Caenorhabditis elegans: one gene and its partners. The protein of the gene in region 1 interacts with the protein of each later gene in a pairwise test. Each region holds a gene or a part of one and is shown in the gene's direction. Other genes may lie near its edges. The genes, in order: cla-1, pnp-1, cbl-1 and ZC15.3.

Region 1 (4,889 bases):
TGATAAAGAACGTTCAAAATCAATCAAAGCAATCTCTTAGTGGTCTAACCCAAGAAGAGCTAGATAACATTGCACAGGCTACTGAAAGTGCTCAGCAAGAATCTAAGCAAGAGCTCACACAAGATGAAATAGATCACATTGCCAGAATTAATGCTATGGCAGCGGAAGACTTTGAACAACCCGCAGTTAATATGAATCAAGGATTGTCACAAGCAGAGAAAGATCATATCGCTCGTATTGAGGCTATGGCAGCGGATGATTCACAATCTAAAATCATTGTTCCTCCTCCTTCAATTATCCAAAAAGATATTGAACTTTCAATGGAAGAAATGGATCACATTGCTCGAATAGCTGCAATGGCTGACGAGGACTTTACACATCCTGTTAAAGGAGCTGTCGCGCCAATTTATGATGAAAATTATAGTAGGGACGATGGTGCAATTGATAGATTCCCAGCTTCGACAGCTACTCCAGTGTTTGCGCAGCCGTCTGAAATTGAACTTTCTGAAGAAGAGCGTGAACATATTTCCAGAATCGCTGCAATGGCTGAAGAAGATTTTAATACACCATACGTTTCAACACATCCAACACAGCAAATTGAAATAGAACTAACGGAAGAAGAAAAAGAACATATTGCAAGGATCGAGGCGATGGCTTCCGAAGATTTAAATGCGCCATCTCCCTTTATCCAACAAGAGCAACGAGTTGCGACAATGCCAGTGCCAATTAATTATCATGTTGAAGAACCAACTCTATCGCAAGAAGAAATTGATCACATTGCAAGAATAACAGCTATGGCTACTGAAGATAACACTGATCTACAAACTCTACCAACTCCTCAAGTTAAACAAAATGAACCGGAGCTCTCCCAAGAAGAAATAGATCACATTACTCGAATAGCTGCAATGGCAAATGAAGACTTTGGAATGTATCCTTCAATTGTTTCTGAACATCCTGCTCCAGTTGAATCTGAACTTACTCAAGAAGAACTTGATCATATCGCTAAGATCACAGGAATGGCATCTATGGACATCAGTACTCTACCACCTCCAACAGGAAAACCATCCGAGACATCACTTACTCAGGAAGAACTTGATCATATTGCTCGCATAGCTGAAATGGCATCAGCAGAATATGATGTTCCTGTAAAAATATTCGAACCACCAGAACTAACTCAAGAGGAACTTGATCATATAGCAAAGATTACTGCAATGGCTGCACAAGATGTCCAACTTCCTGCCACCCAAAGATCGATTACTCATAAGGTTTCGTTGACTCCACCTCCTCCTCCTCCTTCTAAACACTTTGAGCAAGATCTCACTCAAGAAGAGCTTGACCATATTGCAAGAATTGCTGAGATGGCTGATATGGATTATAACACTCCATTCACTGCTGAACCAGTTCAAGATGAAGAAGAAGAACCAATAACAGAAAGTGGATCAGATGCAACATCAGGTGCTGATATATTCGATGAACAAGAAGATGCAAGTTCAGGCGCCAGCGGCTCCTTCGATAACAACAATGCTCAAGTGCTAACGAGCGGCTTCTCTCCAGATCGAGTTACATCTCCTGCTGCACTTGACACAACTGAAGAGCCCCAGGGTCCTATTATGGCTCAGAAGGTGAGAAATAGACGTTGTTTTTTGTGTGCGAGCTGTTTCTATTTTCCCAGCCATAAATACTTTTTTTTCACATTCACCATGTTGCTATGCATGCCGTGGCAATGCAACGGTGTCATTAAATATTATGCAGATAGCGTGACAACTCCCAGATTTTCAACTTTTCCCCTTTTTTGACTACTAAACACTACTATCCAACAGGATTTTATGATTTTCAGACTGTGTCTCCGACGCCATCAGCAGATTCGATGGCGTCACGGAAGAGTAGTGAATACGACATTAGAAGTATATCAGAGATTAGGCAAGAGTCCGAGTCGGATATCGGAAAGTGGTATGCTGAATTTTTAATAAACCTTTTTTTTTCTTTTTGAAAATTAGTGTTTCAATTTTACTATTTTGTTCAGGTATGAGGAGCAACTCAGTTTCATGCGACAATCGATCCACGATGAGGAAGAAGATGTGGGGCGTAAGTGGTTTAAAAAAAAAACTTTTATGCGCTTCAGTGTAGGTACACAGAGGCCTACTCACCTACCTAGTATAATTTGCTAAAACAAATTCTACTCGACAAGAGAATTTCTACAGCAAAGAAAGCAAAAGCTAGATAAAATGTTATCAAAAATATTTTACAAGAGTGTTTAATTAATTCTTAATTCTACAAAAAACAATTCTAATTGCAATCAGCAGACTTTTATCTGAACTTTCAAAATTTTCCACTATCCACTCTGTTTTTGACTCAGAAAAACGTCCAAATAAAAGAAATGACTGAATATAATTTCATTAGACCTATGTAATACAAATATTACATTTTTCTTCTCTATTTACTTTTTTATTTTTGAAATTTCAGATGAAATTCGAACTGACGTTGAAGAGTTCCCATTGGAGTATGTTGAGGATCAACTTCACTTCCTTGAAGGTGAGTTTTCTGTCAAAAATGAAAAATTCATAGCACAAATCAAAAAGCGAGACGAAGAGACCAAATCTCAAAGCAAAAAAACATATATTTGCAGGTATTGACGTAGAGAGCCAACACCATGAGCCCACCACTTCTTCTGCCTTCTTTGGCACCGGAAGATCGATTGGTGAAGGGGAAAAGAGAAAATATGGTGACGACGCCGTGGAGCAGCAAAAACTGGAGAACTACGAAGAGGAGGAGAAGACGAAGAGTAGTAGTCGTGAGGCTTTTGATGATGGATTTGAGACGCAGAGAGAAGAGTCGTTGAGGGCGCAGCAGACACCCATCGATTCACTGCCGGGTAGTCGTATGTTGAAGCGACCCAATTTCGGCTTCCTTTCTAATATTGCAAATGATGCTATTAATAAGGTAAGTAATTGAATATTCACTATGACCTATCAGACTTCACCGTTTGAAAAAAGACCATGAACAAAAAACTAAAACTCAAAAGACTACGTTTTTGAAACTGTAAATGCGCGAAGCTATTCAAAATATTTTCAGTCACTATAGAAATTGTTATTTTTTTTAGAGCTGTTTGACTGAAAATAAATAATTGTCCAAAATTGTTTGACAGGTTTTATTATGATATTTGGTATGGATATTTGAAATGATTTTCCAATAATGTAGAACATATTATGTTGCAACAATTTGTTTTTTTCTGTTATATTCAAATTTACTGTTTTCTAGAAAAAAAACATAGAAATTATGTTAACATCTAAGAAACTCTTCAATCAGCATTTTTTCTTAAAAATAACTAACTTTTACATGCAACATTTTGAGAATATGAGTAGTTTTTTATACACACAAATTTATATATTACATGAATTCATTTTCAAAAAAAAAAAACCATTTCAATGTCAGTATACAAAACCAATTTCGCAGTGTCTTTGACTCTCCAAGAGCAGCTACGATGGGCTCGTTACTCACGGAATTCGACTTTCCGGTCTTTCCAAAATAACGCAAATGTGTTGTTCCCTCATCCAACAAACACTATACAATCATTTGTTCTTCCTTTTTTCTTTTTTTTTTTTAGCGGTCACACATACACCATTCCAAAAGATGTACCCATCGTTTTGGTCTATTTTCCACTTTTTTATGTTTTGTTGTATGTGTCGCTTATGCATAAATGTAGGGTGTGCAACAAAAAGAAACACTTTAGGATTCGGCTCGGGGGACCCCCATGCCTCATTAATTTTTTGCGAGAAGACATGCGTGTGCTCTTCTCTCCTTGTCACTTTCGATAATTGCTCTTTTTGCAGGCAAAGGAAGCGGGTTCGCAAATCCAAGCCGCCGTACCCATCAAGGTGAGTGAACTTTTTTCTTTTTATTCTCTTTCCGTAGGGCTTCCGACCCAATTCAATTATGGTAACACGATTTTGATCTAGATCTCATGACTAAACGCTCACGAGTTTTTCACTTGATTGATTACTTTTTTTTGAGAAACTGCTTTTGGTATTAATATTATAAACAAACAATTAACTAATTCACAAAACGGCTAATGTTTTTAAACATTACTTCTGTAAATTAATTTTTTTGAAATAAATTAAATAACCTCAAAATAATAAAAACTTTTCAGCCATCCTCTTCATCATCAAATATTGTCAACAACAATGTCTTCTCTAGCAGGTAATTGATATTTTGTCAAGTCAACTATAAAAAAAACAATTTCAGCAAATCCTCAACCTCCCTAGGCACCAGTGCTCCAACCAAATCTATTCCGTAAGTAACATAAAACATTCCCAGTATATCAGATTACTCCCCGCACGTACACTTTTCTACCTCCCCTCTTCTTTTTTCTTTTGATTTTCATTTCCTAAATGGTTAATTTTGAAATTACAGCTCTCCACAAATCGGTATTCCGATGGATGGTCTTTCCGAAGAAGAACGTCGACAAATCATGTCAGTTATGGCTGCAGCCGACTTTGACGATTCTGTTAATAATGTAAAACCAAGCACAAGTGGTTCATCAAATATTCCAGCAGGAATGGAGGATCTTTCGGAAGCAGAAAGAGAAAAGATCATGTCAGTTATGGCAAATGCAGAAATGGAGATGGGCGCACGTTTCCCTCCTCCTTCAAGTCAAATTCCAACAAGATCTCCCAGTGTTATGAGTTCAAGTATAATGTCCGAATTACCACCTGGACTCGATGATTTGTCAGATGATGAAAGAATGAAAATTATGGCAGTTATGGCAGAAGCTGATATGCAGAATGTGCGAAAACCCATTGCAAGAGGCCCACCACCAATGCCACCAAGGTTAGTTAGCCGACAATGAGACACCAAAATTTTAAGATTATGAAACACAATGAATGCTTCAA
Region 2 (7,929 bases), 7.3 Mb from region 1:
CCTTTACTGTTTTAAACTGTAGTAAAACTTATTTAAACAACACAAAGCATGTTAAAAATGAACCAAAAACCGAAAATAAGTTATTTCATTAGTACAATGGGAGGTGTTGCTTATTTTGACTTTTGATAACCGTGGTAATGCGTGATTTTTTTGCTAGGTCTTGTATCCACAAATACCTAAATATTATGCTAGTTTAAAAACAAAGATCCAGGAAGTAACGCCGAATGTCAATGAACGTGGCAATGTCTATCAAAATATGATAAAAGGTATAGTTGAGAGATCACGCACCGCGCGATTTATGTAGGGGTTTTTCCGAAAATAATACTTTTTTTGTTTTTCAATTGTCTCATCCAATATGAACAGAAGGTAGTGAGTGCATTTTCAGGTCACCTTGGATACGTTCACTAAAGATTAACACACTCGGGAGCTATCTGGCAAACAATTTCATTCCGGTAGAATCATACTATACCTGTAATAAGAATTTTGAGATCGTCGACAAGCTGTCACGTGGCTTAAATTGAGGTCCTGTAGAGGGATAGTGTAGTTAGAAATTTATTCAGAATATATCACTTTAGTCGCAACTTAGTTAGTGAATTACAAAAGTGATGTGAAGTGGGAATGTTAATTTTTGATCATAAAATGTGATACAAATTCCATTTTTTTTGTTGAAAAATTTCATCTGTCAGAGCCTGTGATATGATTTAGCATAGTCGTCACGTATGACCTGACGAACCGAGTCTCCTCTAGCCCCGCGCTCCAAATTTAGAAGTTTATACCATGAGAACGATTAGATAAGAGTTAATTTTTAGCTTGAATGCTATTTGGAACCTGGTAATAGTTATCCTTTTTGTTGACAATTTTTGTGAAAACCAATGATAGTTTAGCTTTGCCCCGTGGACGTCATCAATTCACTATTCCTAAAATTTTCCAAATTTGTGTGCCTTATGCTTTTCCAACTGTATCAGCTGGCTAACATTTTCAAAATGTCCGCAATTTTCAATGAATTCTTCAAAAATCTCGGCCTCCAGACATTCATTCTTCTCCAACAGGTTCTCTTCGGTTCCAAATCTCTCCAGTTTCAGCACTATTTTCCGCGTGTTTCCGTTGTCTCATTCAAGTAGAAGTAGTTGACCATATCATCGTCACTGACTACTGGGATGACTAGTGTTGTCAATATTGGGAATATGGGAGAGAGATGAGACTGAATGATTGATTGAATGGTATGGAATGAAATAAAAAACCAAATGATAACCACATACAACTTTTGTTCGTCGTCCTCTCGTTTCTGTACAAAAAACATGCAAAAAACATAACACTAAAAAGTACTGCAGGTGGTTGATAGTTAGGGGATAATATGAAGAAAACGGTTCACAAGATTTTTATAAAAGTAAATCAAAAGGCAGTACGTAAACGAGATAGATTAGAAAAGGTAAGCAAAGTTGAAAAATTACAAAAAATTTGATATAGTATTAGTGTAGCTCAATATAGGCTGCTCGGATCTTGGTCTTCTTTATTTTATTGAAAAAAAAATTTTACAGTGCTATTTAAACTCAAATTAGTGTTTTTTGCTTTTCAGAACCAGTAACAATAAAAAACTTAGTGAAAACTTGGAGATCTAAGACAAAAATGGGTCAAGTCTTTACTTTTAAGCTGTAATTATTTGGAATATTCACAAAAATATTTCACAACTTAAAAAAACTAAAAAATCTCCGATATTTAAAAAATCACATCAGTGAATTTCATAAAATAGAATCTAATTTGCAAAAAATTTTTTAATTCAAAATCATTTGAACGTGAAAATTTTTTTTGCAAATTTTATTGGGTTTATTAAAAATCATTTCTTCCGATTACTCGCTTCTTTGCTCGATTTTTCTTCAAACAATGGGAAACTGCACTCAAAAGTTTGTGATTTTTTCTGATATTTTTACCTGTATTCTGGTTTCCTGAAACGTGTGTAGTTTGTAGTCTCAAAAGTTCAACATTATGGTTGACACCAATTATCTCCAATAAAACACACTTTTCAGTCAATTATCATGTCAATTTTGTTTTTTTTTTGCCGATAAAAAATCAGCCATCCGTATCGAAAAATTATTTCATTTCAAGTGCATTTAAGTCGAGTCATTTTCTTTTTTAATGTAGATCTATATTTTTAATAACTCATGGGTGTACAAAATTGCTCTATTAAAACCAATTTTTAGTACTGTTTAAAAAAATATATGTTTTTTTTTAAATTTCTGTATTTAATTTTCAAACAGCAGTTTTTTAGTATTTAAAAAGCATCTTGCGCCACGCGCCAAATTGAAAAAGATCCTAAATTTCAGTATAGTATTAACCGAGTATTTTATTTTTTGAGTATAATAAAAATGGGAAATTTGATTGAATCTGTTTGTATTATCGTTCTGCTATGTTGGACATTTGATTAATTATTTCAATGCCGATTTTATGTTTGGAGTTTTATTGTTTTCTGGAAATTTACATAGGAAAAAAATCATTTATACTTTAAAATGAAACACCTGTAGGCATAAGGCAATATCTACATTTGAGGAGTCATTTACCGCCGTCCTAAAAAACTATCCGAATTTCAAATTTGGGAAGTAACATCCTTTTTTTATAAGATGTTATGTTTTACGGTGTTTCAAGGAGTAGAAGACTTTTGGAAATGTTAAAATTTTGTAAAAAACCGATTCGATCAACCCGATCAAAAAATGTTCAGATAAAAAAACATTGCAAATTTAATTTTCCAGAACGTTTACCTTAAAAACTTTACAAAAACAGTTTTTAGTGAATTTTTACATGCTGCGAAAGTAGTGAAAAAATGCACTGAAGATTTCAATATTGAAACTTGGGCTGTTTAGAGTAAGGTATCTTTACACAATCATCAATTTTCCAACTATGTTTTTTCATTTTCTTTTCACAATCGAAAAATTATTATAATTTCAAATTTGAATTTCAAATGACACTCAAAAATTTCCAGCTTATTTTCAGTTTTAAAAACGGATGTTTCTGCCCGAGTTTCTTTTTTCCTGATTATTTACCCCTAATCGTCTTAACATAATTCCCTTTTCCCAAAACTGTCATAAACAAGTCGAATAGGGGAAAATTTTCAATTTTCCAGTGTCACGTGGTCACAAAAAATGATGACGACATTTTGATAAATGATTAGAAAAATTGATAAAAATTGTGTTACTTTTGATTTTACAACTGTAGCGGCAGGAATACTTTTCAGTTTTTCCCCACCTAAATTTTCCCGCAATTGTGTTATCAGTTTTGATTCGGAGAGAATCAAATTCTGATGTAATTTTTAATAAAAATTTAGATATCGATTGAGATTTTCAGAAAAGAATTATTTTGTCTACTTTTGTAGTGGAACTTTGAAAAACTGCTTTTCAACAGTAAAACGATACGTTGCAAAAATTGAATAACATCTATTGAGTGTTTGACAATGTATGTCACTTCTTCCCTCGCATACTAAAAAAAATGCATTCTAATATGGCTGAATTTTTCGGAACATATATGAAATTTATTGAAATTTCATAAAATCTTTACTAAGTGTTCACATAAAAATCAGAGCCTGGGCAATAGGCAGAAACACAGGTATGTGCCTATTTTTGGAGGCGGAATTGTTTACCTTGTTTACTTCATACAATGAATCAAATACCTAACAACCAGTGCGTAATTTTTTATAAATTCCTCATGTTTTTTTTTCATGTTTCAATCATTGTTTTCAAAACATGATTACTAAACTGATTACTATAAATTGTACATTAAAGATGAGTAAATTTCAGTCGTTCTGACTTTTCAATTTTGTTTTAAATTTTTACATTATCATACTAACTTGATATTATTTTAAAGAAAAAAATCTACATGGTGGCAGAAACTATAATTTTCAACACCATCATAACTCCAATATTCTAACACTAATTTGTTACATGAACGTTGGAATTCTAAATACCTTTTTTTAAGCGACTCTACTCGCACCCAAAATAGTGTCACTTTGATCTACAATTCCGTACGTAATAGTCACGAGGTTAGTCTAGGGCCCACGTACTGTTGATATCAGTCTGTTGTTAGATTGTGTCACCTGTCTCTGCATGTTCCTTCTTTAAATTTTTATCACGCGACACTTTGATACCCAACACTTCTTTTTGTTCCTTTCGGAGCATTCAAATTTAACGGCACGTTTTTTCATTTTATCAGTTATGCGAATTTCTCGAGAACTAGCCGTTTCTGGGTCATAAAACCTTTGAATTCTCGGAAATGATCACTGAATCAGCTAAAAAAAATAGTTATTCTCGCTGTGTGCTCTTCGCCAGTGAACCGCCCATTTATTATTATCATTAGGTTAGAAAGAGAGAGCACATTGTTATCAGTGATTGGAAGGTTGATGTGGACAGAGTCACATTCATTTCTCCCAACCTCTTTACCCCACGCGCGCGCTCCAGGTTCGCTCTAGGTTGAAACGTGGGAAGTTTCACGATTTACATTTGTCATTATGATGACTGTCTTCTTGATTTCGATGCATAGTCGACAAGCTAGCTATTATTCTTTTATAGTTGGAAGTATTTTGAGGAATAATTAAATTCTCAAAAAGCGCTAAAATCAAATCTGAGCTATCTTTTTTTCATGTTGTCAGCAATATTAATAGAAACGCAATTCTGCCAGGGACTGCAAGTGTAATTATTGCTCAATTTTTTTTTGAGCAAAAGAGTGAACAATTTTATTCTTTTTTTCGATGATGTCAAGTTGAAATTATTTTTTTGCAATATCAAGAGCAAAACACTTTTATCAGAAGAACTCATAAAAACTTTAAATGATTGAGATTAATGGGATAAGTGAGAAAGAAGCGAGAAATAAAAATGCATGTTCAAAGTGTTGTATATTATTAGGCACAATTCGAATTTTGAAGCAACAAGAAAAAACGTATCCCGTAACAGTTTTAGTCCAATTTACCTGCCATGTGGCAAAGATCCCTTAAAATCCAGCTTCAACTGGGCGATCTTATTTAACGATTTAAGTTATGGGTTTGGATTTGAATGTAGTATGATTGCTTTTTGATTTCATTGGCTTCCACGTGGCGTTATCTATGCCTAATGTGATTTGAAAGTAGCCATGTGACAGTTTTTCATTCAACTCCTCAAACTAATGTTTCAAATCTCCAACTTTTCTTGGACAACACCCACCCCAAAACCATTAACTTTTGAAAGGCCACCCCTGCCCAAACCCACAAGCGTCTCCCTTCCGGGTACTTGATATTCCTAAGACCTCGTGAGATTTTTCAATGAAAAATAAATGGGCAACGAGAAAAACGATCATGATTTCCTATCTCTGTGTTTTCTCTAGAACCCTCCACCAGTCTCAGTATTCACCAGCCCCCTCCAACAGTACATAATAAAACTGTTTTTGTAGCCTTCTCATATATTGTTTTGTTGGCGTCCGAAATGTTTTCTTCGGACTAGAACTTTTATGATCTTATTCAAAATTGCAGACTCACCACTTCTACTTCACTATCACCAGCCATGGAGAACAACAATTCACCAACCAACGCTGCGGAGCACAATCAGAAAATTGAGTGAGTTTGAGTGGAACCTATACTCTAGGAATATAAGGAAGACGTGAAAGACCCACGTTGAATTTATTCATTTACTTATTAAAGCCGCGTAGCAACAGTTTGTTTTAAAAGTGTATTTTTCTTAAGTTTCCACACTAAATCCAATAGGTATCCACAAAGTTGAAAACTCGTGAGGTGAAATTTGGAAAACCGCATTCGGTTGTCGTTACATTTTTCAATGTAGATTGAATAGTAGTCTCTAGTTTAACACCTATAAATCTTGTGAGTACCACTCAAAATTTTTTTTCTCAAAAGATGTTCTGTGCACGTTTAGCGCATCGCATGTTATCACTGATAAGACACATGAGGCGAAAAGCTTCAAACTTAACAGCTTTCGATTTTAAACCGTTTTTTAATCAGAAATGATTGGAACTTGAAGTTCTGATTTTCGATATGACATGATAGCAGAAGAAAGATCAAACAGTCCTTATTTCAGCCCCAGAAACTACGACGATGTGCTCTCGGTGGCCGCCTCAATCAGAGAGCAAGTAGGAGAAGATGTTGCCCGAGCCGACCTCGGAATCATCTGCGGATCCGGTCTTGGACCAATCGGAGACACTGTTCAAGACGCCACTATCCTTCCGTACTCAAAGATTCCAGGATTTCCAACAACCCATGTCGTTGGGCACAAAGGAAACATGATTTTTGGAAAGCTAGGAGGAAAGAAGGTTGTGTGTTTGCAAGGAAGATTTCACCCATACGAGCATAATATGGATTTGGCTTTGGTGAGTAGAAGAAGTTAGGAATTTAAAAATTTAAGGGGCATAAACAGGTATTGAGCTTGAATTTGGCTTCTTATAATGCTAAAAATAGCCTGAAAAAAAAGCTTGCACGAAAATGTTTCGGTAACTTTGCCCATTTTAGTGCACCCTCCCAGTCCGTGTAATGCACCAGCTTGGTATCAAGATCATGATTGTCTCCAACGCAGCGGGAGGTATCAATGCCGTGTTGAGACACGGAGACTTGATGCTCATCAAGGATCATATTTTCCTTCCGGCCCTTGCCGGATTCTCTCCACTTGTCGGATGCAACGATCCCAGATTTGGAGCCCGATTTGTATCGGTTCATGATGCCTATGATAAGCAGCTTAGGTGAGGGTAACTTTTGAGAAAAATTGTTCCATTAACTAAACTCTTCCAGACAACTCGCCATTGATGTTGGCCGTCGTAGTGATATGACGTTGTACGAGGGTGTCTATGTGATGTCCGGTGGACCACAATACGAGTCACCAGCTGAGGTAAAAATCTTTTTTTCAGAAACTTTGATGGTACACTGAAAAAACATATGTATAGTTCAAAATAACTAGGCATCATTTGGTCAAAGAGTAGACGTTCATAAGCCATTTTAATTGATCCTGAGAATTTGAAAAACCGTTGAGAGAAACCACGTGACTTTTGCTTTAGCGTATTCATAAATGCCTATTCAAGGCTATTTCATACTATACACTGGTTTGATAAGATAGAGTAGTGAAGCGTTTCCTTCGGAAGTTTGATTTTTTGGTCTTAGTGACACTGTCGAAATTCCAGTTCAACTTTCTTCAGCTGAAAAAGTAAAACTCAATCATAGCCGTAGACAATTCGTATGAAAGAGATTTGAAGAGAACTTTTGAAGAAAGCCCTGGGGTGCCATAATAATGGAGTGTGCTCAAACTCGAACTCAATTTTCCAGGTATCACTCTTCAAAACAGTCGGAGCCGACGCACTCGGAATGTCAACTTGCCACGAGGTTACCGTAGCTCGTCAGTGTGGAATTAAGGTCCTTGGTTTCTCTCTTATTACCAATATTGCAAACTTGGATGCAGATGCATCAGTCGAAGTGTCACATGAAGAAGTTATGGATATCGCGCAACAAGCCGGTGAACGAGCATCCCGTTTTGTGTCGGATATCATTACGGAGATTACTCTCTAAATGTGTTCCTTGATCTTTTATGATATAACCTGCTTTCATTCTCTTGATTTCACTCGATTCTCTTCTTCCATTTCACTTACTCATTCTTTTTTAGCCTTTTAAAGGCGCACATCGCCCCACAAAGTATAGCATCTGATCGAATAGAATAACCGACAATATGTACAATTGTATGTTTATACCTTTTGGCCGATTTATCATATAAAAATCATATTGAAATTTTTAAGTTGCTGGTTTTCATAGTGATCGCTCAACATGGACATCATTTGGGCATAAATTTTGACACCCATACCATACAGAAGCTACGTTATTCGAAAAAGGACCTTCATATAAGCAACTTCTAAAACTTTTCGTGTGTCCTACAAGTGCGCCCTCCAGATGTCAAATGGAAAGGTCTACATTAAAATTCATGAATA
Region 3 (5,519 bases), on another chromosome or scaffold:
ATTCCCAAATTGGCGGAATTCTATAAGTTTGAATTCGAGCTTGTCGAGTACAAATGGCCAAAATGGTTGCATAAACAAACGGAAAAACAAAGAGTTATGTGGGGATACAAGGTAAATCTTATTAGAATTTTGGATAATCACACTTGAAACTTTTCAGATTCTATTTTTGGATGTTTTATTTCCTCTAAATGTGGATAAAATCATCTTCGTAGATGCCGATCAAGTTGTTCGAGCTGATTTACAAGAATTGATGGATTTCAATTTAAATGGGGCTCCTTATGGGTAAGAATTACAATATAAGAACCCAATTAACTGTTATTATTCATTCAGATATGTTCCATTTTGTGAGAGTCGAACAGAGATGGATGGATTCCGATTTTGGAAAAGTGGATATTGGAAGAATCATTTGATGGGGCGAAAATATCATATTAGTGCACTTTATGTTGTTGATCTTAAGGTATATAAGGATTAATTTTGTGGATTACGGGAAATTGGGTTTCGAAAAGTTTGTATATTTTTAAAGGAAGCTGTGAAAAACTGTGCGCCTTTGAAGAATTACAGTAGCTTCCAGACTTCGTTGTTTTACAATTTAAGTCGTGGAAAACGAAGTAGTAGAAAAATGGATCTTATACAAAAAAAAGTGAAATAATTGAAGAAAACGAAGTAGAATCAAGTAGAAACTACCGTACTCTTACAAGGCTTACAATCTTGTTCGTAACAAAATATTAATTTCATTTCCTATCTAACGTGCATGTTCTTTTATAATACAACATTTTTCAGGCGTTCCGCGAGTTCTCAGCTGGAGACCGCCTTCGTGGTCGGTACGACAGCCTATCTGCTGATCCGAACAGTCTTTCGAATTTGGATCAAGATCTTCCGAACAACATGCTTCACGAAGTTCCTATTAAATCATTACCTCAGGAATGGCTTTGGTGTGAGACATGGTGTGATGATGGAAGTAAAGAAAAGGCAAAAACAATTGACTTGGTGAGATTTAATACTTTTAAGCACTTTTTGTGTTAAACCAATATTTTTAAAAAATATTTTTAAAAAATGTATTTCAGTGCAACAATCCACTGACAAAAGAACCAAAACTGAACTCGGCAAAACGTATTATCAAAGAATGGACAGAATACGATTCAGAAATTTCGAAAGTTTTGAATTCTGCAGATATCAACACTCCATCACCATCAGTGGATCGAGATGAATTATGATTTTCCTGTATTTTTTCATTATTTGAATTTTTTGTTTCTTAAACTGTATCCGAATTATCACAATTGTGTTAAAAATTGTATTACTTGAATGAATATGAATAAATATTTTATGAGCTTATACAAGGAGGAAGGACGGCTAGAAAACCCATGGCTTTAAGCAATCCAGTAACAATGTTTCAACAATTCCAAAATTACCTCTGCTTTCGGGGGGATTTATTCAACTTCAAGATGTTCTTGTAAAGCTTTTCAAAATAAAATAATCTGCGTTCGGGGGGAATCGAACCCCCGTCGAATGCTTGGAAGGCATCCATGCTGACCATTACACCACGAACGCGGTGATGTAACGAAAATGGATATAAAAAGAATAAAATATCTTTATATGTACGATTTTATTGGGATTTATAGGGATGCATAGTCGGAAAATCAAGTTCCCGTCTTTTAAATACCTTTTCCATCCTTTCTTCACATAATCGCCGCGTTCGTGGTGTAATGGTCAGCATGGATGCCTTCCAAGCATTCGACGGGGGTTCGATTCCCCCCGAACGCAGATTGTTTTATTTTGAAAAGTTTTACAAGAAGAATGAAGTTGAATAAACTTTGCTGGCAAATTTTACCTCTACATTTCGTTGAAAATTTACCAAAACCAAACTAACAAAACACTGATAATTTTAAAGTCATCATGTGGAGACTAACTAATGATAAGAACTGATAATCTATCTGATCTTGCATCAGCGAGAGATTATTGGAGAACTGATAAATACATTTCATTTGTAATCACATTTCAGTTCTATTTGCTGTTGGACACAATGAGGTAAGTGTCCACACTGATATTCTCGTATAGTTGAAATTCTTTTAGTGACAGTTTCAACTGGCCAGCTGGAAATAACGAGGCAAGAGAACGTTTGGGAGAAAAGTGAGTTTACTGAATTTCAAGGAGTTCCCCGGTCATTTTCTAAAGTAAAAACTAGGTTTTTTAGGCATCGTAATTTTCAGTTTCGTTGCATTTTTTATTTTTCAATGTTTAATTGACTACTGTAGCGCATCCATCAGAGGTAGGCACGGTTTCAAGGCCTGTGACAGCCTGAAACCTACCGGCCTCCTCGTCTAAATAATGCATTCTGGCGTGAAATTAAAAAACCTGGAGATTGAACCACAAGTTGCGATAGGTATATGTGTTTCTCCTATGCAGAGTTTGCCAGCAAATGTGTTCTAGGGCAAGGGTGTTCTGGTAAAACTTTAAAAAATAAAACAATCTGCGTTCGGGGGGAATCGAACCCCCGTCGAATGCTTGGAAGGCATCCATGCTGACCATTACACCACGAACGCGGTGGTTTTATAAAGAAATGATGGAAAGGGTATTTAAAAGACGGGAACTTGATTTTCCGACTATGTATCCCTATAAATCCCGATAAAATCGTACATATATTTATGTTTTCTTCTTTTTTATATCTATTTTCATCAAATCACCGCGTTCGTGGTGTAATGGTCAGCATGGATGCCTTCCAAGCATTCGACGGGGGTTCGATTCCCCCCGAACGCAGATCAAACTTTTTTGAATGTATAAAAAAAGTTTTGTTAGTAACGGAATTGTTTTCACATATCCTTTTAATCAGATTTGAAAGTCTCCACTTGGACAGTCGAATTTCAACATCTCATGCAAAACCACTTTCAAATGCTGATCCAGTAGTTGTTCCAATTTATCATTCAAGTACTTATCGTTTCAAAACAGTTGATCAATTCAATGAAGACAATCACGGTGCCAACTTTGTATATCGTCGATGCGGAAATCCAACAACTGAAAATGTGGAAGTTGTGATTAATGAGATAGAAGGCGGTGCAGGATCCCTCCTATACAACTCGGGTCTTGCAGCGATTAGTGCAGTTTTTCTGGAATTTCTGAGTTCCGGTGCTCATATGATTGTTATGAACCCAATTTATAGTGGTACATCATCATTTATTAATGAGACATTGGCTCGTTTTGGAGTTGAAATAACTTCTGTTGACGTTGAAAAAGAAAAGGATTTTGCTGGAGCTGTTGAAAAAGCAATTCGGCCAAATACTAAGATGATTTACTTTGAATCAATTGCCAATCCAACGATGGCAGTTCCAGATATTTTGGGAACAATTGAAGTGGCAAAGAAATATAAGGTTAAAAAATATACGATTAAGAGAGCTAGATTAATTATTCAAGTAATCTATTAATTTTACTGTTTTTCAGATTCTTACATGTCTTGATGCAACTTTCTCATCTCCATACAACATTCAACCACTGAAACTTGGAGCAGACATCAGTCTTCATAGCTGGTAAGACTAGTTATTCCAAAATTTAATTCATAGGTGGATCGAGTCTCAAAAATAAAACGGAGATTGGCAGTTGAAAATTTGTCTAGGCCACATTAATTTTAAAGTAAAACTTTCCATTCTTTTAAAAGCGTCGAAGGAGAAGCATCAGTAAGGAAATGATTTGAATCATCTCCTATAGTGTTGAAATGTCCAAGTAAAAGACTTTAGTAAAAAGCTTCCAGTTTTTGAAATTTTGGCAAGTAACCAGAACTTTGACTGGAAACTTTGAACAATTTAAACATTTTGCAGTGTTAGGTGCTCATACTGAACTACAATAAATTTGATTTTACAAAACTCCCACTGATTTTTTCGTAAATAAAATTCGAAAAGAATTGCAGCTCAAAATACATTGGAGGACATACGGATGTGATTGCTGGAGTTGTTACAGTATCATCTTATGATAATTGGAAAAAACTTAAACTTCAACAATTGACGACTGGAAGTTCTTTGGTAAGCAGTTTCTGAGTAGAAAAAAAAACAAAAAACTTGAAACTTGCAGAGTCCATACGACGCTGCCCTGTTGACCAGAGGTCTCAAAACTCTTGGATTGCGAGTTGATAGGATTTCAGAAAATGCTCAGAAAACTGCAGAATTTCTAGAATCCCATCCAAAAGTTGAACGTGTCTTTTATCCAGGACTTCCATCCCACCCACAGCATCAATATGCTAAACAAGTAATGAAACAATTTGCTGGAATGATTGCATTTGATGTTGGAACTGCTGAAAATGCAATCAAGCTTGTTGAGGCTAGTTTATTAATCTAAATGAAAATTCTGAAGAATTATTATTCCAGAGTCTTAAACTAATCATTCATGCAGTATCTCTTGGTGGTACTGAATCTTTAATCGAACATCCTCTGTCAATGTCTCATGGTAAACATTTACTTCGATATTTGGATGGTCCGACTGTTGCCCCTGGACTTCTCCGATTTAGGTACGCTCTGAGTTCTTCTGAATCAAAACTTTTGTATTTAAATTCTATTTAAAGTACATAACAGAAACTTTCTATCGGCAATTTTGACAATATCCGATTTTCAATTCGAAAGTGCTCCCTTAAAATTGTTTTGGCCATTTTATTTTTTCCAGTTAAAAACATTTTTTAAAAATAACTTAAATAGGAGTAAATTATTAGAAACTACAATTTAATAATTTTTGCAGCGTTGGCATTGAAAATGTGGAGGATATTATTGGAGATTTGAATGATGCCCTCGAGAAGCTTTGAGCAATTTCTTCAACATTTCGAAATCATTTCTCTTTAAAAAATTAATAACTTCTTTTTTCAGTTTTTTTTCAGATTATTGTCAAAAGTCTATAGATATTCTATAAAAGTTCAGAAAAATCATCGCTTGTGCCGTCTCACTTTTGTAACAAATGAATTGCAATCAGTGATTTATTGTACTTCTCCTAAATAAAAAAGATGATATACAATAGAAAATGTAGAGAATTAGAGATTAATTGACATGATATCTATTGACAGGAAACAAGATGATTCTATCACTAGTGAAACGATTAAGAACTTGATAATATTGAATGTATCTCAAAAGGAAATTATATTGCTTAGAGATCATTGATTCTTTAGTAGAAGTGCACATTGAAAATGGCAATCACTATCAGGAAAACTGGAGATTGGAATTTAGAAAAAATCTTATACTTTTCTGCAAAAAAAAACCGCGCGATTAAGAACTCGGAGAAACAAAAAAAAACATTTTCGTTGCTTGCTAATTAGCAAAATTTTCCAAGTTTCAATTTTGTTTCAAGGACGTCGACAAATGTTTATCTTTTTTTGTAATTTTTGGTTTTGTCAACAAATTGAAAAAAAATCTGTTGCAAAACTTTCCAAAAATTAAAAAATAATGAAATATGGACTTTGAAAAAACAAAAGATATTTTTGTCGTTATCATATTCTCATACCTCTTATCTCTCTTTCTGTAATATTCTCTCAATAGATTCTGTCTCTATTGACA
Region 4 (3,416 bases), on another chromosome or scaffold:
TCACGCATTTCTTCGCTCCACTCGTTCATTTATTACACTTTTGTGACGTCCTATCCACAATAAGTCTGCAATTTTCCAGGATCGAGCACACTCACGCTTGGACATGCCAAACAAGAGCACCGACGACGATAATCCTCCGCTGCCCTGCAGCTGCCCAGCTTCTAGAAGCTCAGGAGATGACAGAGCTCCAACACCAGCGTCAATCATCTCGCTACAGCGTCAGGCATTAGCGGCGGTCCTGGACGCCAGACTACGAATGAGTGCAGAACAAGCTGACGACGAGCAAAGACAAAACGCTGATCGACGCGCTCAGGATCAAAGGGAGAGCTTCCGACGTCTCCGCGAAGAAGCATCAAGCTTCGCCGACTTCTTCACCAACGCGAGATTGCCAGCCATGAGGACCTTTTCGCCAGGTTAATATCGAGAGTATAAAGAAATGACTAACAATTTTTATTGTTTTAGAGGCTGCCCGCAGCTCCTCCAACTCTTCCGGCAGGAATCCACGCATGGATCAGGATTTCGAACTGGCAATGGAACTGGCTTGTGAAGAAATGTCGGCGACACACGCGAGAGCCCAGCCGCCCATCAACTATGAAGCCAGCAATTCCCCAGAGCAACCATCCAGCGAAAGCGACGAAGAAGAAAGCGTATCCAGCGCAGGTATGACAGTTCATAGAAAACTCTCATAAAAATCCAATTCGATTGTAGGAAGTGGTTCCATCACCCCCACGGCCGCCCTCGCAAACGTTGTGGCTCCACTGGAAGCAACTGTGGCCCGCATCGGAACCCAGATCACCGCGATTGGCAATCGAGTCGACGAGCTCTTCGAGCAACAAGCCCACATCTCTCGCCAGCTCAATCTCATCCTAGAGAGCGGCCCACGTCCCTTCAAGCGGATTATCATCAATCTATAGGCTCAATTCAAGGAAAGCGATTCCCAACCGAAGCAAATCGCCGCGTTTGTAACCATCCACTATCAGCATTCGGAAATGGCTGCCCTCTTCAAGAAGACCGAAGGAAACACGTTCCATAAAGAGGGAAACGTCGTCGAGCAAGCTCCATATATCGCAGGAGCGGTGACGGCCAAACGCAAGGAAATCGCAAGAGCTGCCCACGCTCTCCAAGGACCAGTGGCTCAGATCACTGCATCAGTGGATCAACACTTCATCAGAGTTGGCGCGGAGCCCGAGATGCCAAGACCAATATGGACGTCGACAAGATTGACCGCATCCAGTCTCCGATACTCCGTCAACACCACCACGGAATTCAGACGAAAATTGGTCGAACTGCTGAGAACCGACAGCTTCCGAGACACCCAATGGATCACCATTCTTCCCATATACCCTCCGGATAAAGAGGCTGCCCACGACGAAGCAGAAGCCGTCGAAGACGTGGGAGAAGCATCCGATTAAATCTAATTAATTGTTGATTGGTCTTGTTGGCGCGGCTGACCACCCGCATTATAAATGTTCTGTTTTGACTGATTCATGCCATTTACGTTATTGGAAACCGGTTGCAATTACCGTGATAATATCTACTCTCGCTCAATCATAATCGCTCTAACATTCCTTCATTCAGAACTGCCATCATGCCCCGCGAAGAAAGTGAATCTCCACTATTGGTCTACGAAGATCCGAGACATACGCCGTACACGCCGTTCAAGTATGCCAGAAAGGACGAGGAAGAGAGAAGCTCCGGAGGAGGAAAATCGCCGCCCAAGAAAGCCCCAAAAGCCCAGGATCGCATGTCACTCCGCGACAAATTTGAGGCTGCCCCCACCACCAAGAAACGCAAGACGGCTCAAGACCCAGCCGATGGTGAGGAGAAAAAACTAATTATGCAGGCTAAAATTGATAAACCCTCCGTTTCAGAGCTCTTACAAGCCATCAAGCCACTCTTCAACCAAGTCAAAAAGGAAATGGCCGATCAACTGGCTGATCAGCTCGGGAGATTCAACGAGCAACTCGACATGGCGGTCAACTCCTTCAGCGACGAGATAGTGAAGCTGAAGGCGGATCACGCCTTGGCCGAAAAGAATGTGGATACTTATGCCCAAAAGGTCTCAGGAATGTTCCAGCGCGCGGACATGATGTCTGCCAACGTCCAGGAGCAGCGAACTCAACAAGCCGAGGACAATCGTATGGCCTCCAAAGCGAGAGACAGGATCATTTACGACATCGCTCAGGTCGCCACCAACATGAAGACGATGAGCGAAACCATCGCCAAAATCGACGCTCGTGAGGAACAGGCTGCCCAAAAGCAAGCCGAGCGCCACACCCCACAAGGAGGACAGGGATCGTTGGAGCCAGCGCTGGTGAGACTTATATTTTCTCCTATGTCAGGGTAGAATATGCTCATGAATATTACAGAAGTGCCCACTGTGCAAGCGTCATCACGCTCCGGAAAACTGCACCATTATAAGAAATGGACTCGATCGTCGCGAGGAAGCCGAAAAGATCAAAATGTGCATTCAATGCCTCGAAGTCGGCGTGACAAATGACGATTGGGTCCACGAAGGCTGCCCAAAGGAGAAGGAGCAGTGCACCAGATGCACCAAATACATGAAGCCAGGAGAAATCGCCCAGACTCACCACAACGCCACATTCTGCCTAATGCTCACCTCGAAGCAGTACAAGCTCGAGCGCAAGGGATCCCCATCCGATCGTGTAAGCGTATCCTCACGACACAACGAAACAGAACAGTAACATTTCAGGATTACTCGCCAAAAGGCCGCAGAGGACCAATTCGTTCCCGCCACAACCGCTATGGAGGCTGAGGACGCCGCAGAGACAGCTACCATTAAGCTTCTGCATACTCGCTGCCCCCTCCTCATTATCATTCCCGTTGTTGGATTAAACCCGTTGTTATTGTGGCCAAGCCACTTACCATTGTTACTGTTGTTATTGTTCTTTTGGCTGCCCATTCATGGGATCTTATCTAAATAAAGCCTCATCGTCGAACTTCTTCAATTATCACCTCATTTATCCGTTCAAGAGTCACTCACTCACGAGATATTTTCAAAACATAGAGAAAGGGATCCACTCGGAAAAATTAATCCAGCTCAAAACCCCCACGGATAGGAGATAGAGACGCAGATACCTCTAAGCCGGCGCTAATCACCACCGCCCGCTCTACAACTGCACTAATACCTGCAACTTTCGGAAAAGAAGCGCTAACTCCGCGAAGCACATTTATTCGCAGCGCCTAAGGACCTGACAGCCCATACCCTTTAGGTCAGAGCTTCAAGCAACGGGGTCGAAACTCGCAGCCCCAACCTGATCAAAGAGCCCCATTCACAACTCGGAGATCAGGACACCAACCATCTCATTAACTCACAGTTAATGTCAGCGTGTCGTACAATCCCCCAATGACATCGCTCTATTGCTCCGAATCAGGACAGACGCAAACGCCCCTAT

The links.
Region 2: the proteins of cla-1 (region 1) and pnp-1 interact in a two-hybrid assay, tested with the Caenorhabditis elegans proteins (one large-scale study listed by BioGRID).
Region 3: the proteins of cla-1 (region 1) and cbl-1 interact in a two-hybrid assay, tested with the Caenorhabditis elegans proteins (one large-scale study listed by BioGRID).
Region 4: the proteins of cla-1 (region 1) and ZC15.3 interact in a two-hybrid assay, tested with the Caenorhabditis elegans proteins (one large-scale study listed by BioGRID).

The regions. Positions count from the first base shown.
Region 1 is NC_003282.8:7,608,813-7,613,701, forward strand, and holds the start of cla-1 (Protein clarinet), read left to right. Parts: upstream 1-1,867; coding exon 1,868-1,950; intron 1,951-2,023; coding exon 2,024-2,085; intron 2,086-2,463; coding exon 2,464-2,532; intron 2,533-2,626; coding exon 2,627-2,940; intron 2,941-3,830; coding exon 3,831-3,875; intron 3,876-4,147; coding exon 4,148-4,197; intron 4,198-4,242; coding exon 4,243-4,290; intron 4,291-4,410; coding exon 4,411-4,827; intron 4,828-4,889. UniProt on the Caenorhabditis elegans protein: Required for synapse development in the active zone of presynaptic terminals of specific neurons including serotonergic NSM neurons.
Region 2 is NC_003282.8:292,233-300,161, reverse strand, and holds pnp-1 (Purine nucleoside phosphorylase), read left to right. Parts: upstream 1-1,881; coding exon 1,882-1,901; intron 1,902-5,485; coding exon 5,486-5,569; intron 5,570-6,044; coding exon 6,045-6,333; intron 6,334-6,472; coding exon 6,473-6,699; intron 6,700-6,748; coding exon 6,749-6,845; intron 6,846-7,276; coding exon 7,277-7,516; downstream 7,517-7,929.
Region 3 is NC_003279.8:9,325,948-9,331,466, forward strand, and holds cbl-1 (plant cystathionine gamma-synthase), read left to right. Parts: upstream 1-1,909; coding exon 1,910-2,025; intron 2,026-2,070; coding exon 2,071-2,127; intron 2,128-2,459; exon of another isoform or gene 2,460-2,543; intron 2,544-2,679; exon of another isoform or gene 2,680-2,758; intron 2,759-2,827; coding exon 2,828-3,362; intron 3,363-3,432; coding exon 3,433-3,518; intron 3,519-3,895; coding exon 3,896-4,007; intron 4,008-4,056; coding exon 4,057-4,302; intron 4,303-4,349; coding exon 4,350-4,489; intron 4,490-4,713; coding exon 4,714-4,777; 3' UTR 4,778-4,981; downstream 4,982-5,519. Other genes in the region: uggt-2 (UDP-glucose:Glycoprotein Glucosyltransferase), read left to right, coding at 1-111, 158-282, 331-457, 781-987, 1,065-1,214.
Region 4 is NC_003283.11:20,302,032-20,305,447, forward strand, and holds ZC15.3 (CCHC-type domain-containing protein), read left to right. Parts: upstream 1-1,556; 5' UTR 1,557-1,588; coding exon 1,589-1,817; intron 1,818-1,871; coding exon 1,872-2,314; intron 2,315-2,369; coding exon 2,370-2,666; intron 2,667-2,713; coding exon 2,714-2,776; 3' UTR 2,777-2,877; downstream 2,878-3,416.